Linked DNA regions of Pelodiscus sinensis. The protein of the gene in region 1 interacts with the protein of each later gene in a pairwise test. Links are inferred from orthologs where the notes say so. Each region holds a gene or a part of one and is shown in the gene's direction. Other genes may lie near its edges.

Region 1 (7,618 bases):
TAGCTGTTTCACATTTAAGATGCCTTTTTGTTTTCATTTTTATCATTACCTTACCAGTGAGTATCAGGCAGTATTCTGTGTGCATAGCATCTAGACAGATACTTAAGAAAAATTAAGTGGTCATTCTAAAATCAGACCTTTATCATAGGATACTTAGCCGCATATGAACTCATTAACTATGGGCCCTTTAGTTTGTGTACCTCATTCTTCCACTGTTTGTTGTACAGTCCACTGTGGAGTTCTAAGGCAGGTGCTTCACGAGGATTTCTCAGCTGGAAGAGACATACATTAAATTAGTCAATTAATACTTACGAAGGCACAGAGAATTGGGATTAAAGTTCTGTAATAAGAACTCTGTAAATGAAGCAGGTGTGATGCCCCAGTGCAGGAACAGGTGCTCCCTATGTGGCTAATTAAGAAGGTGGGCCAATATAACATTAACATATACAGCATTTGATCCTTACAGTAGCACCTGGAAGCCATAAAAGATCTGGGAGTGACCCAGTGACTGAGAATCCTAGGGAGTCAGGAAAACCCAGGAGAATAGAGGAAGCCTGTATAGAAAACAGCAGTGAACAGAGAAGCTTCCTAGGAAGAAGGCAGTTATCAGGAAGCCAGTGGTGGTGCTAGCTTACTGATTTCAAAGGCCAAAGCCTAGAAGGATGAAAAGGGCTGGGGGGGGGGGGGGGGGGGGGGGTTAAAAAAACAGTGAAGGGACAGCCTGCTGTTCTTCCTGTGCCAGACAGAGAGCAAAGACTAAAGACAGCTGAAGTCTGAAAGTAAAAAAGGCTGGTGCCTGCTGGCTTTAAGCAGGAACCAAAGGCTGAAGGTGAGGGAGTGGTGAAGAAACTTCGCCAGCCCTGTAGGTGTCGATAGATTGCTGGACGTAGAGGAACCACCAGAAATGAAGATGGGTAGGGGATTCTGTGGGGGTTCTTGCTGGGAAGAGCAGGGTTGTATCCACTTGAAAGAGCTGAAATGGCTGTCCTGGTACAAGGATGGGAGAAGACTGCCCCAGTTCGCCACAGCGTGGTGAGTGCTGCTGGGGCTGTGTCAGAGAACCAATGTGGTCAGGGATGTTGCAGTTGTATTGGATGTGTTCCCTAAATTACAGTGCTGGGATTTCTTATGCACGGGGTTTGCCTATCTAATCTATTAACTCCACATGGGCTCTCCTCAAGAAATGCAAAAAAGGGTAGCAATGGTGTCCTTAGCCTCTGTTTGTCAGAGGCTGGAAATGGGTGATGGGGTGGGATTGCTTGATTATTTTTTCTGTTCATTCCATCTTGGGGCACTTAGTGCTAGTCACTGTTGGAAGACAGAATACTGGGCTAGATGGACCCTTGATCTGACCCAGTATGGCTGTTCTTATCCTCACTGAATTCATAATTAGCCCTGTGGCATCCTTAGGATATTAGAAAACAAATATGGTTGTTACTTTTTGCTGCCAACAGTCGTCAGAGTCGATCACCTGGCAAGATTTTGTTGATAGTAGAAGTGCTTTGGGATTCTTTGGTTTTAAAGTTATATCTATTAAGATTATTTCCGTGTTTATTTGTGGTGGTGTTTGTTGTAATTTGTCACTCAAACTGTCTTTGGATCTCAGTTCCCATGGCTACCACAGGAGCATGTCCTCTATCCATAAGTATGTTTTTTATTTTAGAAAGAATTTAGAGTAATATGACCAGTTTCATTGCTCATAAATATGAGCAGCCAATAACAATGGTTTAAGTGACAAAGTAAGCAGAAGATGTGCAAGCTTTTATAACCATTGATGTCAACCTATTTCAGAGCTTCATGTGTATGACGCTATATAAAACACATCAGTCCTGACCTTGTGCACCTCTGCTAGCTTTATTGATCCAGTGTAATTTCATGGATGTCTTTCCTTTTTCATGTAACATATAGCTATCTAGATTGTAGGTTATGCACTGTAAATGAAATCTAAATAAAAGAATTATGTGGTGTTATTTGCTACTCAAAAGTTATGGATCAATTTCCACTTTGGGTAACAATTGTATTGAAGTCTGGGCTTCAGTCAGCAGCCATACAATTTCATTATCTAAGTGTCAGGGTCTAATCTGATTGGGGGAAAGAAAGAAAAAATAAATATGTTGATTTAAAGAAAGGGAAATAATACATCAATTTTAGCATTCATTTATATTTTGTAAACAGCAAAAGTTATGCAGATGCACTCATCTTTATCATAGAAATATTGTGATAGAACCCAAACAATTTACTAAGATGAAGTGGGAGAAAATATTCAGCAAATTGGGTTCTGAACTTAAAATGTTTACACAGTGTCCATATTTTGAAAAGACAAATGAAATTGTATCACTCTTGGTTTAAAACAGCCCAGCTAAAAGATTTAAACTGCTGCATATTTATTTGAAATGGTATTTGAGCATTGTGTAACCCAAAATTGTTTGTTGAAAAATATACAGAGAATCAAATACATGCAGGAAGCTGCAGAGACTCATCAAATATTTATGGTAATGTTTAGTCCTTTAAAACAATCATTTTGTACTATAAGGGATTTAGAACGTGGTTTTTTTAGATGTTCATCTATCTATATTATAGAGACTATCAGCAGGTGGAAAGCTGGGGCTGTAGAGTCACTCAAGTGGCATTACTCAACAACAGAAAAAGATAAAAACTGGATCCGTCTGCATTTTGAAGTATCTTGTATATTTTCAGTACAAAGCCACAACTGGGGAATGAATCTAGTTACTCCTACTGCATTAAAAAAAGTTTGGACCCTGACACATCTTACTACATGAGTGCTGCAACCATTCATTTGTGGAACCCTACAGCTGCCACCTTCTGTCAGTTTTTGGTCCTCCCTCCTCCCAATTCTAATGCCTAAAAGACTGAAGAGCTAGTCTAGTATCCTGACAAAAAATTAATCTTGATGCTTTCTGGTACATGAAAGCTGCAACAACTCAGATCCAGCATCTGGATTCACCTGGATCTTGTGTCCCTAAAACCCCTAAATTCTATAATTGTGATAGAAGGCCCTGCTGAATCCTACCTCTTTTTAGCACTAACACCCCACCTCATATTATCCAAACCTATATCACTGCTTCTGCTAGACCAGAAGATCTGTGCATCAAGTACATCATTTGTAAGACAAAACTAAAATGCACACTTTACACCTGGGTTTTGCTAGATCCAGAAAATAGTCTATTGTATGTCAGGTCCTCTTTCATAATAAACATGTGATATATATCGTGGCATATGAACATGTGAAAATCCAAATATGCACATGGATCCAGGAGGATATAGCCACTTTTTTCACTTACATCTTGGGGATATATGGCCAAAGGCTTTTGTGACTTTACAGGACACTAGAAATTGAGTGAGTGTGGTCAAACTGGCAGAATCAAAGTGCTAGGTCCTTCACACTGTTCTACTGGAATTTGGTTGGATCTTGCCTTTCCTGTGTTAGATGAACTCTCAGTCTCTTTTGACATTGTGAGATATGGAAGATGAGAGATCAAAGCTGGCTGGATCCAGCTATTGGAACCTATTTTGTGCTCTTCATCCACTGTACTGCAGCGGGGTCTAGGGATTTTTTGAGCACTGGAGGAAATTATGCTTGTCCTCCATAGATCTAGTGGGATTTTTGGTATTGCTGCCCATCACTGCCAGGATCCTAGTCCCATCCACTTATTTTTGAAACATCCGTGTGTAACCGAGAGGCACTGAGACCATTGCCACGGGAGAGTGAAGTCTGCTCTATAGCTAAGGTTGTAGGGCAGACTTCATCATGCTCCCATGTCAGTGGTCTCAGTGCCTCTGGGTTACACAAGCCACAGGCTCTGTCAGGGTGTGCCTGTTTAGAGAGACAATAGGAGCAGTTATATCAGTTCTGGGTCCGTGCAGTGCAATTTGGGTGAGCCAAAGCCTGGCAAGGTCCAGGAAGAACCCCCAGTCACACCGCAAACAGCATTTGAACCCCCAGTCACACCGCGAACAGCATTTGAATAGCAGTCTGGTTCAGGCTGAATGATTCCTTAGGTTTCTTCCAAACTTAAAACGGACTTAATGGCGTGTGAAACCTTAACAATAGATACCTGCTTAGTCTAATAGTTGTAATTACAGTGAATTATTGGATAAGCTGTTGGCTGTAAAATCTGAATGCCTGGCAAAGGGGGAAGCGAAGCCATCCTACCCCAGCGGTAACTTTGTTGGGTGGCATCAGAAAACGGCGCAGATTTTCCTGCCATTGCTTTAGGTTTGGCAGCATTGTGATTTATTTATTCATGTGGGGAAGAGTGAGGGGTGCAGCCGGTTCTAATGCTGGACCTGCCCAGAAAACGGGGCCTTGCTGGAGAAATATTGAAGAGTCTGGAATTGCAAAGCTGCCGCCCCTCTTCCGAAGCAGGGTGGAGGGTAGAGACTCGGGGAAACTAATTACACTTAAAGTAGCCCTGCCCCTGACACAGTCCTAGGGAAAGTGCATGTGTTACCGCATCTTGCAGCCGCCCCTTTCTCTCTCTTCTCTTCCCCCCCCCCCCCCCCCCCCCGTCTCTCCCTCTCCAGTCTAGCCTGACGCAGGCAGATCGAAATCACCCTTAACAACCCAGCCTCCGGGAGAGTGGTGCTGGTGGGGTTCCGTTTAAGATTATGTCGCTAATCCTCCCTCCGTAGCTCTGCGCGGATCGCTGCCAAGCTCCCCCCGCCCCCGCGCAGGCTGGGGGCGTGTTTAAAGGGCTGGAGGAATCCGCCGGCGGCAGGTCGATCGGGAGCGATCGGCAAAGTTGGCTGAAGTGGGGAAGCTGCGGGTACTTCGGGGAAAGTTGCTGGGAGCGGGGGAGAGAGACAGGCTCCGGAAGCAGGAGCCCCTGGCCCCAGGAGGAGTATGGGCACTTTGCGGGATTTACAGTACGCGCTGCAGGAGAAAATCGAGGAGCTGAGGCAGCGGGATGCGCTCATCGACGAGCTGGAGCTGGAGTTGGATCAGAAGGACGAACTGATCCAGAAACTACAAAACGAGCTGGATAAGTACCGCTCGGTGATCCGGCCCGCCACCCAGCAGGCGCATCAGCAAACCACCACCACCTTGCAGGGGGAACACAGGACCAAGAGGCAGGCAATTTCAGCCGAGCCCACCGCATTTGACATCCAGGATCTCAGCCATGTCACCCTGCCCTTCTACCCCAAGAGCCCACAGTAAGCAGGGTTTAAGCGTTGTGTACATCCTGTCTTTGGTAGTTGAATGGTCTCTGTATTGTCTGTCCATCCACTTGTTTAGACGGGTCCTGCACCTTCTGCTTTCCATTTCTGTGCTCATCCTCAGAAATGCCCCCCCCCCCAACCACGCTTCTCTGGGCTGCCCACATTTCTTCAGCCACGGTAGCTGCACGCATCCGTATCCCGCTGTGTCTCTGTCCAATGTCCAGGTATTTCCGAGCCCACTGTGAGCAGAGTTCCCAACCCGTGAAGGGGGAAAGCGCATTCTCCCTAGCGCTGGTGTAACCTTGCCCATCCAAACAATAACCCCGCTAACGGCAGCGTCACCATCAGACTGTCTTTTCCAATGTGGTACGTTCTTATGTCTGGCTTTTTTGTGCTCTTGGTCTCTGCGCTGAGTGTATCCGCAGTGCTGGGTGTTTGACATGTCAACTATATGAAGCAAAATAGAATTTACTATCCGGATTCGGGTGTAGGCTGATCTATCACAAACTGATTTTCTCCCCCGACAAAGGTGTTGCTAATCCCTGAGCTGATGTCAGTCAGCATCCAGAAAGGCAAATCCAATCTCTTGCTTTTCTTTCTTTTTTTTAAATTTGGGACTGCATCTGACAAGTGTGGGGGTTTCAAAGGTCTTACTTGATACAAATCCACATGTCACTAGTTCCACAGCGTTCTGCATAACTGCTTTGCACGTTTCCGGGGGCTAAGGATGTCTCTGAGCTGTGGCTGTGGGCAGGGAGCTAAGTTTGCACATTTTTTAGGTTTTAAACACCGCCCATTGGGACGCACAACTTGGATATAAAAATTGGCTCTTGGCTGTAGCTTAGCAGCCAAGCCCACCGAACTACTAGAGGAGATTTACAATATAAATCCGGTCCACTACACCTGCTAACTTGCATTTAAATCATCCCCCCAGGCGGTGATATAACTGACATAACCAAGGAAATTCCGAGGTTAAAAGTTGCATGGCATGTATGCAGTCAGCCAATTATGGCTGAGGATTAGAGCACATGCTGTTATGCGCTGCTAGGAAACTCCTACGCTGTGCCCAACAGGAGTAAAGGGCTGAGGGGAAGAGAAGGGTTTGTTTCTTTGCTCTGTGCTTTGTTTCCATCCTTAGCAGTCTTTGCTGTCCTCATCTTCTTGTAAGGAGAGGCTGCCGTAACTGTCACGTGACAGAAAACTCGGCAGTCCTTTGTTCAGGTGTGTAAGAAAGTGCTTTTCTTGGTGTTCGTCATGCAGCATAGCCGCTTCTGTCTGGGCTGAGAGGAGGTGTTCAGAGTTTAATGGGGCAGGAACCATAGGTGGACGCGAGTGTTGTTTTAGAAGGTTTATATTGAGCTCCAAGAGCAGTTTTTGTGTGTCAGTTTAAGAAAGTTTATGGGGAAATCCTAAATTTTCACTCCGTTTCCAGCTTAGTCCTGTATCTTAACTGTATATATTGGAAGACTTACGGGTGTATCTAATGAGGTATGTGGCCTTGTCTACTTATGCACATTTGGACAAAGTGACGGTCATAATATGATACTTCCCTGGTTATAGTATAGTTCTGTGCCATTTGATTGGATTTTATAAAGGGCTTTAGAGTAATGAACATAAACCAATTAAATGTATCTAAAGATAACATGAGAAATAATGACTTTGGGGTGAACAATGCTCATCTCAAGATACGAATGAAAAATAAAACCGATCAAAGTCTTGCTGGCAGTGTAATATGGCGTGAAAGGCAGAGGAAGTGGTGGGTGGAGTAATAGGTGTGAGGAGTTCCTTACCTGACATGCAGCCCAACTACAAGAAAATCGGGGACCATCCTAAAGTTGAGACCAATGCGCAGGTTTCCACCAGATTCATGTGCTGAATAATGCTCTGCCTACCTTCAGGTTACTCTTCCTCGCTCTTGTGAGCTTTTCCAGAAGGAAAAAAAGCTGCTCCAGTGACTTTTGCCACTGGGCTGTTTTGGTTGCCAACACAGTAGATGAAGGGACAATTGTAATAAATCTTTCAAGCTTTAAATAAAATTGGGAAGTCATCTATTCTTGTTTCACATTTGCAGCCACAGACTATGCAAGTTGGTTTAAGTAAGAAAACCGAGTACATCTAGAAGAGAGACTATATCCTCCATAGAGTGTTTAATCTTTTTCACTATCCAATACATGTTGATATGTTTGGTCCCGTAATCACGAGAAAGCTTGTATACTTTTAAATTCATGGTTTATATCAAAATACCACACGTATTTCATGTACTATCGGCACAATTACTTTAAAAGAGTCATTTTGGAAATAAATGTTTTTAATTTTGTTATCAAAAGGTTTGCAGTTCAGTGTACTAACTTAGCATATTCTCCTAGACCATAAGGTGAGTGGGAATTTGTGTGGGTGGAACAAATCTGCTAGAGGAAATAATAGCTCCTACATCCAA
Region 2 (7,727 bases), on another chromosome or scaffold:
CATTTAATCCAACCTCCCGGCGCACACAGGCCTGAGAACATCCTCAAAAGAATTTGTCCCTTCATCTTCATCGGCGGCAGCAGAAAATCCACCCGCGCCCTTGGTAAATTGTTCCAATGGTTAATCCTCCCCTCCCCACCCACACACACCCGGTCCAAAATGTCCAGCGTATTTTCTGTCTGAATTTGTCTTCAACTTTCACCTACTAGATGCTGTTTGACCTCTCTCTGCCAGGCTAAGAGCCCCGTATTGGCTATTTTTGGCTACTCACAGGCTATGTCTACACTGGCGCAATCTTGCGCCAGAAGTATGCAAATGAGGCTAGGCGTGGAATATCACCGAGCCTCATTTGCATACCTAATGAGCCATCATTTTTGCGGAAGAGGCTTTTGCGCCAGGAGGAGCTGTCTACACGGCCCCGTCTTGCACAAGAAAACCCCTCTGGCGCAACGCCGTTCTTCCTGAAAATAATCAGCGTAGCGGCATTGCGCAAGAGGGGTTTTCTTGCGCAAGACGGGGCAGTGTAGACAGCTCCTTCGGGCGCAAGAGCCTCTTCTGCAAAAATGGCGGCTCGTTAGGTATGCAAATGAGGCTCGGCGATAGTCCATGCTTAGCCTCATTTGCATACTTCTGGCACAAGATCGCGCCAGTGTAAACATAGTCACAGAGTGGGATCAAGTCACTCGTTTCTTTGTTACGAGGAACAGACTAGGTGTGAGGGCGTGTTGGGGTGTCCCCGTCTCCTGCACCCCCGTAGTGGCACGAGCAGACTCCACCGGCCGGTAGAATAGAGGGAGTTTATTGCTTCTCCAGGATACAGCACAGCACAGATGTAATCTGGTTACAGGAATGGGGGCTAGGAGTCCTCAGTGCCCTCCCTTGAGATGGGGGGTGGCTGGGCCCTACAATCCCAGCCCCCTCCCTAGCTCCTTCTCCCTGCTTCCCAGATAGAAACTCAAACCTGTCTTCCAGCCCTGCCCCCCAGCCAGGGCTGGCCTCCCCTCCTTCCTTTGTTTCTCTCCCCGGGAGGTAACTGGTCGGGCAGGTTGGGAGACCCTTGTCTAGTGACTCATCCCCTGTCCTGCTGGGCCGTGCTACAGACAACAGCCAGTGGGGGTCAAGCCTACAGTCCAAGCTCAGCAACCAGCAGGGTACCCCCACTACGTCACACTAGGGATGTAAGCGACACACTCAGCGACTAGTTGCTTCCCCCCCTTGTTGCCTCTCTCGGAAAGAGGCAACGGGGAGGGGACGGGGGGTAGAGAAGGGAGTGCTGGGGGGAACTGGCTAGGCCCCTTCTACATTTCAAAGGTGGAACGCCGCGCGGCACTTCCGTCTTTGAAACGAAGCAACAGCCGGGCGGGCTCTTGCTACATTCCAAAGCGGAAGCGTCCCTATCGACGTATCGAATCGTTGATGGAAATTCCATCGACTAGTCGATCAGCGGATTCATTTTAACATCCCTAGAACAGACGGATCTCTTGGAGTCAGCCACTAGAGGGCGTGTTTGCATGGAAACGGGAAACAGCCGCCCCAACAGGGCCATGCAGAAGACAAATAACCGCCCTGCTTGAGATCGGCCTGTTTATCAGGATCGTGGCCGAAAGAGCCAACACGACCTTGCACGGGGGGCCCCTGGGCAACTGAACTTGACCCCTAAATCTTTTCCAACATCACCACCCCGTTCATACGGCCTGCTCGCTCCTGGGAAGCCGTGACCCTGAAAAAGACGCATTTACATTTAGCTAGCTCAACACACGTTGGCTACGTCTACACTGGCACCCTTTTCCGGAAATGCTTAAAACAGAAAACTTTTCCGTTATAAGCATTTTCGGAAAAAGCGCGTCTACATTGGCAGGATGCTTTTCCGGAAAAGCACTTTTTGTGGAAAAGTGTCCGTGCCAATGTAGACGCACTTTTCCACAAAAAAGCCCGGGGTGCCATTTTTTCGATCGGGGCTTTTTTGCAGAAAAGAAAACTGAGCTGTCTACACTGGCCCTTTTCCGGAACAGTTTTCCAGAAAAGGACTTTTGCCCGAACGGGAACAGCATAGTTTTTCTGGAAAAACACTGACGATTTTACATTAGATCGTCAGTGCTTTTCCGGAAATTCAAGGGGCCAGTGTAGACAGCTGGCAAGTTATTCTGGAAAAGCGGCTGATTTTCTGGAATAAATGGCCAGTGTAGACACAGCCATTATGTGCTTGCCCCAGCTTACCCAGCGAGCCAAATCGCTCTGTATCAGAGATCCCTTCTCTTCAGGACTTCCCAGTCCTCTCATTTTTATGCCCCTGGAAATGCTGTGGGTGAAGATTTTGTGCTTTCTGCCAGGCCAAGGAGAAAAAGGTGAAATAGCTTAGGGCCAAGAAAGGACCCAGACTTTAATAGGGTTAAAAAAGAGCCGGAAACATTCCTGGAGGTTAGGTCCATCAATGGCGTCCCTGGCCTCTGCCAGAGGCTGGGAATGGGGAGGGATCACTGGATGATTTCCTGTTCTGTTCACTCCCTCTGGGTACCACTGTGGGCAGACAGGACACTGGGCTAGATGGACCTTTGCTGTGACCCAGACTGGCCGCTTTATGTTCCCTGCAAGACCACGCTAGGGGCACCCTTCCACCGCAGCAGGGAGATTTAAGTGGGACGTCAGGAAAAACTTCCTGCTGTCAAGGTGGGCCAACACTGGGGCTATGTCTACACTCGCGGCTTCTTGCACGAGAAATATGCAAATAAGGCGATGCATGGAATATCGCCGAGCCTCATTTGCATACCTAATGAGCCACCGTTTTTGCAGAAGAGCCGCTACACCTCTTGCGCAATGCGGTTATCCCGGAAAATAATCGGCGTGACGGCATTGCGCAAGAGGGTTTTTCTCGCACAAGAAGACAGCTGTGTAGACAGCTCCTTCTGGCGCAAGAGCCTCTTCCGCAAAAAGGGCGGCTCATTAGGTATGCAAATGGAGCTCGGCGATATTCCACGCTCAGCCTCTTTTGCATATTTCTCGTGCAAGACGCCGCACGTATAGACATAGCCTGGAATAAATTGCCTGGGGGGTTGTGGAATCTCCATCACTGGAGATATGTAAGAGGAGGTTAGACAGACACCTGTCAGGGTTGATCTAGACCAGGGCTTCTCACCGCATGCGGCCGAGAACCTGATTGCTTGCGGCCCGCGGTGCAAGTTTGGGTTTACGTGGGACTCAGTGTGCGGCCCCCGGGCGGGAGCCAAAACAAAAAGTCGTCAATAGAATGGCCTTCTGTTGAGATGCGCTTTAGTAGTCAAATTCCTGGACTGTCGTTGCTCATCAAAAGTGCTGTCCTATGGGTGGAAATGGGGTAAATGTTGCATTTTATTAAGATCAGCAGAACTGACTTAAATGGGGCCTGCGTGCTGTGTAGACTTGCCTTCATCTTTGTATTCATGCCCATCAGTGTGCAAGAAGCTATTTGCATTTATTTGTATTTTTAATTTCATGTACATGCAACCACACTTCAGTTGTGGCCTTTGGCATGTGCTGTGAGTATCAGTGTGGCACCCGGGGCTTCCAAAGTTGAGTAGCCCTGATCTAGATGGTGCTGGGTCCTGCCATGACGACCTCTCGAGGTCCCTTCCAGTCCTAGTATTCTAGAATTTTGAGATCTCGCAGCTGTTCACGTTTTAAACCATTGCACCCGGGCCTTGTGCATTTGATAAACATTCTAGCTTCTTAATCCGACGTCATATGCTCCCCAGTCAAACCCCTTCCAGATGCCCAAAGATAGATCACATCAGTACGACTATCGGCATCAGCAAAACATTGTCACAGCAGTGGTCCCCAACCTTTTGGGGCTGCCGGGCGCCCGGGGGCAGGGCTGCGGCCGTGCACGTGCCACACGCAGGGCTGGATTAAGGGGGAGGGGCTAGCTGGGCAGCTGCCCGGGGCACCAACCTATGGGGGGTGCCCGATGGCAGCTGTAAGGTGCGCCGCGCGCCGGAGGGCGGAGCCACACATGCGTCGTGCACCTGGGGGCGGAGCCACGCATGCATCGTGCACCTAGGGGCGGAGCCACGCATGCATCGTGCACCTAGGGGCGGAGCCACGCATGCATCGTGCGCCGACTGCCCAGGGCGCAGGAATGGCTCGAGCCGGCTCTAGCCACGTGCCCGGGGCTCAAGAATGGCTTGTGCCGGCCCTGGTCACTCGGCGGGTGCACATAAATACCATGGCGCTGGTGAGCACCGCATTGGGGACCACTGAGTTACAGGTTCTATGGACCCCCTGCCCACCACTGATTTGCATTAATTACGTGACACCCCTTTCATTCTTAAGTCATCCTCTCCCCAGGATAACGGGGGTCACCAGGAGAAGGTGAGGTCAGGTCTAGAATTACCTGAATCGTCCCTTTAAAAAACAATTGGCACATTTGCTTTTTTCCAGGCCTCTGGCAACTCTCCGGGCTTACAGACAAATCAGCATGTGGCGGATGCCAGGCTGCCTTGGGCTCAGCCGCCAGCTCGGGCGGAGATGCCCACAGGTGTCAGGAGCAAGCCTGGGGCAGCCAGTGCAGCCAGGGGGTGTCTGCGCAGCCAAGCGACCTGGGTCCCTCTAGGACCGGCAGCTGCCGGGCTCCGGATCTCGGGCAGGCCGGGGGAGCGAGCCGGGAGGCGGAAAGCCATTGTGAAAGGACTGGCTTTAGGACCGGGGGAGGCCAGGCCGGTGCAAAGGGGTGTAATCCTGCAGGGCCCGGCAGAGAAGCGCCAGGAGACCGCGTTCCTGCCCGGCTCAGCCTGTCGAGCACCATGGCTGGAGCCAGAGCCGGGGAAGGTGGGACGTGCAAGCCCCGGGAGCTGGGAGGCAGGGCGAGGGGAGCCCGCTGGGTGCATTTCAGGCCTGGAGGCGACCCCCTCGCGTAGCCTGCAGCAGAGAAGCCCAGCAACGTGGCTGGGGGGGGGGGTGATTTGCAAGGCGAGGCCTTTTGCAAAGGGCGGGCCCCTCTGCGCTCGCAAAATGGCTGGTTTTAGGACCGAGCGAGGAGACGCCGCCCCAGGGAGGCATTGCAAAGCGGGGCGCTGCTGGGATGCTCCCCCAAAAGGGGGGGGGGGGATGGTGGATTCTCCTCCGCCCGGGAGCACGGAGCCGTGGCATAGGAGAGCCGCCCCCGCAGCCGTGCAAAAGCCGAGCGCGCTGCAGGACGGGGCGCTTGCAAAATGTCTCTCTCTAGGACCACGGGCCGGGAGCCGCCCGCCCGCCCGGGCTTCGCAGCAGCGCGGCGGCAGGGCTGCACCCGCTCCCACCACGGGGAACAGCCGCCGGCTCGGGCCGGGCTCGCACCAGGCTGCAAGGAGCCAGGAGGGCTGGGAGCAGGGGAGAGGCGCTGTCCTGGGGGGGGGGGGGGGGGTTGCAAAGCAGACCCCCCCCTCTTGCATGCAAAACCAGGAGCTGGCTGGGGCCCGGCTGAGCAGGGGCTGCGCTGCTTTGGCCTCCGCCTTACCTGGCTCCTGCGTCTCTTTTGCTGCTGCCGAAGCTGCTGCCCCCACTCCCCGCTGGAGCAGAATGAGTCAGCCCCTAGGACCCTGCGGGAGAAGGCAGCAGAGGAGGGGGTGGGGGAGAAATGCAAAGCACAGGAGTCGCTTAAAGGGGTATTAACCCTCCCAAGGCCCCGCAGGTTTCCAGCCGGAGGGATTTATTGCCTCCCAGCTCAGGGGGGGTTGCAGCACCCCAGGGACAGCAGGGTGGGGTGCACTCGGGGGCTAGAATGCACAGGGCGGAACCTTGTTTCCAGGGCGGCGGTTGGGGGCGGGGAGCGGTTGGGGGTTGCACCGCAGGAAGTGTGGCATGGCAGGGGGAGGGGGTGTGGGGCCATAACCGGAAGTGTGGCACCCAGCTCAGCCAATGGGAGGGGTGGTGCCAGAGCAGCGTCACAAAGGAAGTGGGCGGGGTGAAGGGGGGCTTTGAATAGGACACAGCGGGGGGGGGGGGAGAAGAAACCAGGAGTCCTGGCTCTTCCCCCCCCCCCTTAACCCAGGAGTCCTGGCACATGCGGGAGGGGAAGGGTTTGCCTGTGACACAAGGAGGGGGCGGGGCGGGTCTGAGTGTTCTGGGCGCTCCCCCCGCCCTTCGGAGGGGCGGAACGGTCCCTGGGAGCCGCGCGTGCCGGGGGGGGCCCTTTAGGCGGGGACGCCGCCGGAAGTGGCGCCCCGCGCCCGGGCAGCCCGGCCGCCTTTCCCCGCCGCACATTTCCTGTTTCCTAGCAACAAAAGGAAGTGTCCGCGGGGCCCGGGCCGGGGGGAGTCGTGCGGCCCCGGCAGGGCGCGCGGGGGGGCCCGTTTCCGCTCCCGGGGGGGCCCGGCGAGGAGCCTCCCCCCGCTCGGCAGCCCCGGGGCTCGCCCCCGACGTGGCCCCCGGAGTCGGCGCCCCCGCCCCCCCGCTAGGCCCCGCCCCCGGCACGCGGGGGGGCCCCTGAAGGTAAGAGGGGGGGCGCCGGGGGGGGCAGAGCCGGGACCCCCCCGCAGCGCTAACCGCTCCCCCCACAGCCCCCCCCCGCAGCGCTAACCACTGGGCCCCGCTCCCCCCCCGCAGCGCTAACCAGCCCCCCCGCTCCCCCCCACAGTCCCCCCCCGCAGCGCTAACCGCTCCCCCCACAGCCCCCCCCCCGCAGCGCTAACCACTGGGCCCCGCTCCCCCCCCCGCAGCGCTAACCAGCCCCCCCCCGCTCCCCCCCCCGCAGCGCTAACCACTGGGCCCCGCTCTTCCCGCCCCCCCCCCCCCCACCGCTGGGGACAGACCCCAGGAGTCCTGGTTCCCAGCCTTCCCCCTGCTCTAACCACTGGCCCCCGCTCCCCTCCTGCGGCTGCGGAGAGTCTGGCTCGTTCCAGCTCCTCTCCCTGCGGTTCCAAGAGTCGTGTCCCTCTTCCCTTCGCCACACATGGGGCTGCCTGTCCCCCTGCTGCATCCCGCCCTAGGAGCTGCTGCGTTGCAGGATGAGCGCTCTGCCAGGCAGCCCGGCCTGTGGCTGTGTTACCCTGCTGGCCCTCCCCAGAGATGGCAGCATCCCCGTGCCAGGCGGTGCATCCCCGTGCTGTGTCACTGTGCGGCTGTTTCCCAGTAGCCCACCCGAGAAGCAGCCAGGTCGCAAGGCGGAGTGACGTGTGTTGTCCCCCAGAGCACAGCGAGCTGCTTTCTCTGCCGACCTTGGGGAGTAGCCTTGTTGACTTGTCTCCTATGAGCATGCTGGGGGCCTAGAAACTTGGACAGCAAGTGTGACTAAACAGAAAACAGCCACCCACATGCACCCTCTGGCTGACCTGGGAGAATGTTGTTTCTTTAGCAATATCTGGGGCATTGAAGGCAAATGGGTTACACTGGGCACAGATCTTATAGTCCCTGGCAGATTGTGTGTCAGGCAGCCAAAAAGTCTTCTCTTGGGCTTCAACTTTTTATACTTCATCTCAAGCCGGCAGCGATCTTTGCTCATGGGAGTGGAAAACTTCCATTGTCAATTTTTTGTCTCGTCACATAAATCTGTGTGGTGCTGGCCTTTTCTGGAGGAAATTGTGGACTCAGAGAGAGTGTGTGTGTGCGCGTTTCCCACCCTGAAGTCCTTAAAATATGGAGTCAGTTAAAGCCAGTTGCCAGTGTTCAGAAACGCCGAAATATACCTGCGTGACGTTACGTTTTTTCGGGGCAAAGGTTACAAATTAAACAGAGTTGCATTTAGTCCTTTATTTAGTTCGTTACAGGTGGCAATCTGG

What was found.
Region 2: the proteins of PRKG1 (region 1) and ZNF646 interact in binary tests that used the Homo sapiens proteins (3 or more experiments, as listed by UniProt). The two-hybrid records come from large-scale screens. The link is inferred for Pelodiscus sinensis from reciprocal best matches to the Homo sapiens genes PRKG1 and ZNF646.

What each region holds. Positions count from the first base shown.
Region 1 is NC_134718.1:37,896,803-37,904,420, reverse strand, and holds the start of PRKG1 (cGMP-dependent protein kinase 1), read left to right. Parts: upstream 1-4,568; 5' UTR 4,569-4,864; coding exon 4,865-5,175; intron 5,176-6,379; exon of another isoform or gene 6,380-6,402; intron 6,403-7,618. UniProt on the Homo sapiens protein: Serine/threonine protein kinase that acts as a key mediator of the nitric oxide (NO)/cGMP signaling pathway. GMP binding activates PRKG1, which phosphorylates serines and threonines on many cellular proteins.
Region 2 is NC_134714.1:133,519,037-133,526,763, reverse strand, and holds the start of ZNF646 (zinc finger protein 646), read left to right. Parts: upstream 1-4,644; 5' UTR 4,645-4,800; intron 4,801-5,467; exon of another isoform or gene 5,468-5,775; intron 5,776-6,034; exon of another isoform or gene 6,035-6,441; intron 6,442-7,727. UniProt on the Homo sapiens protein: May be involved in transcriptional regulation.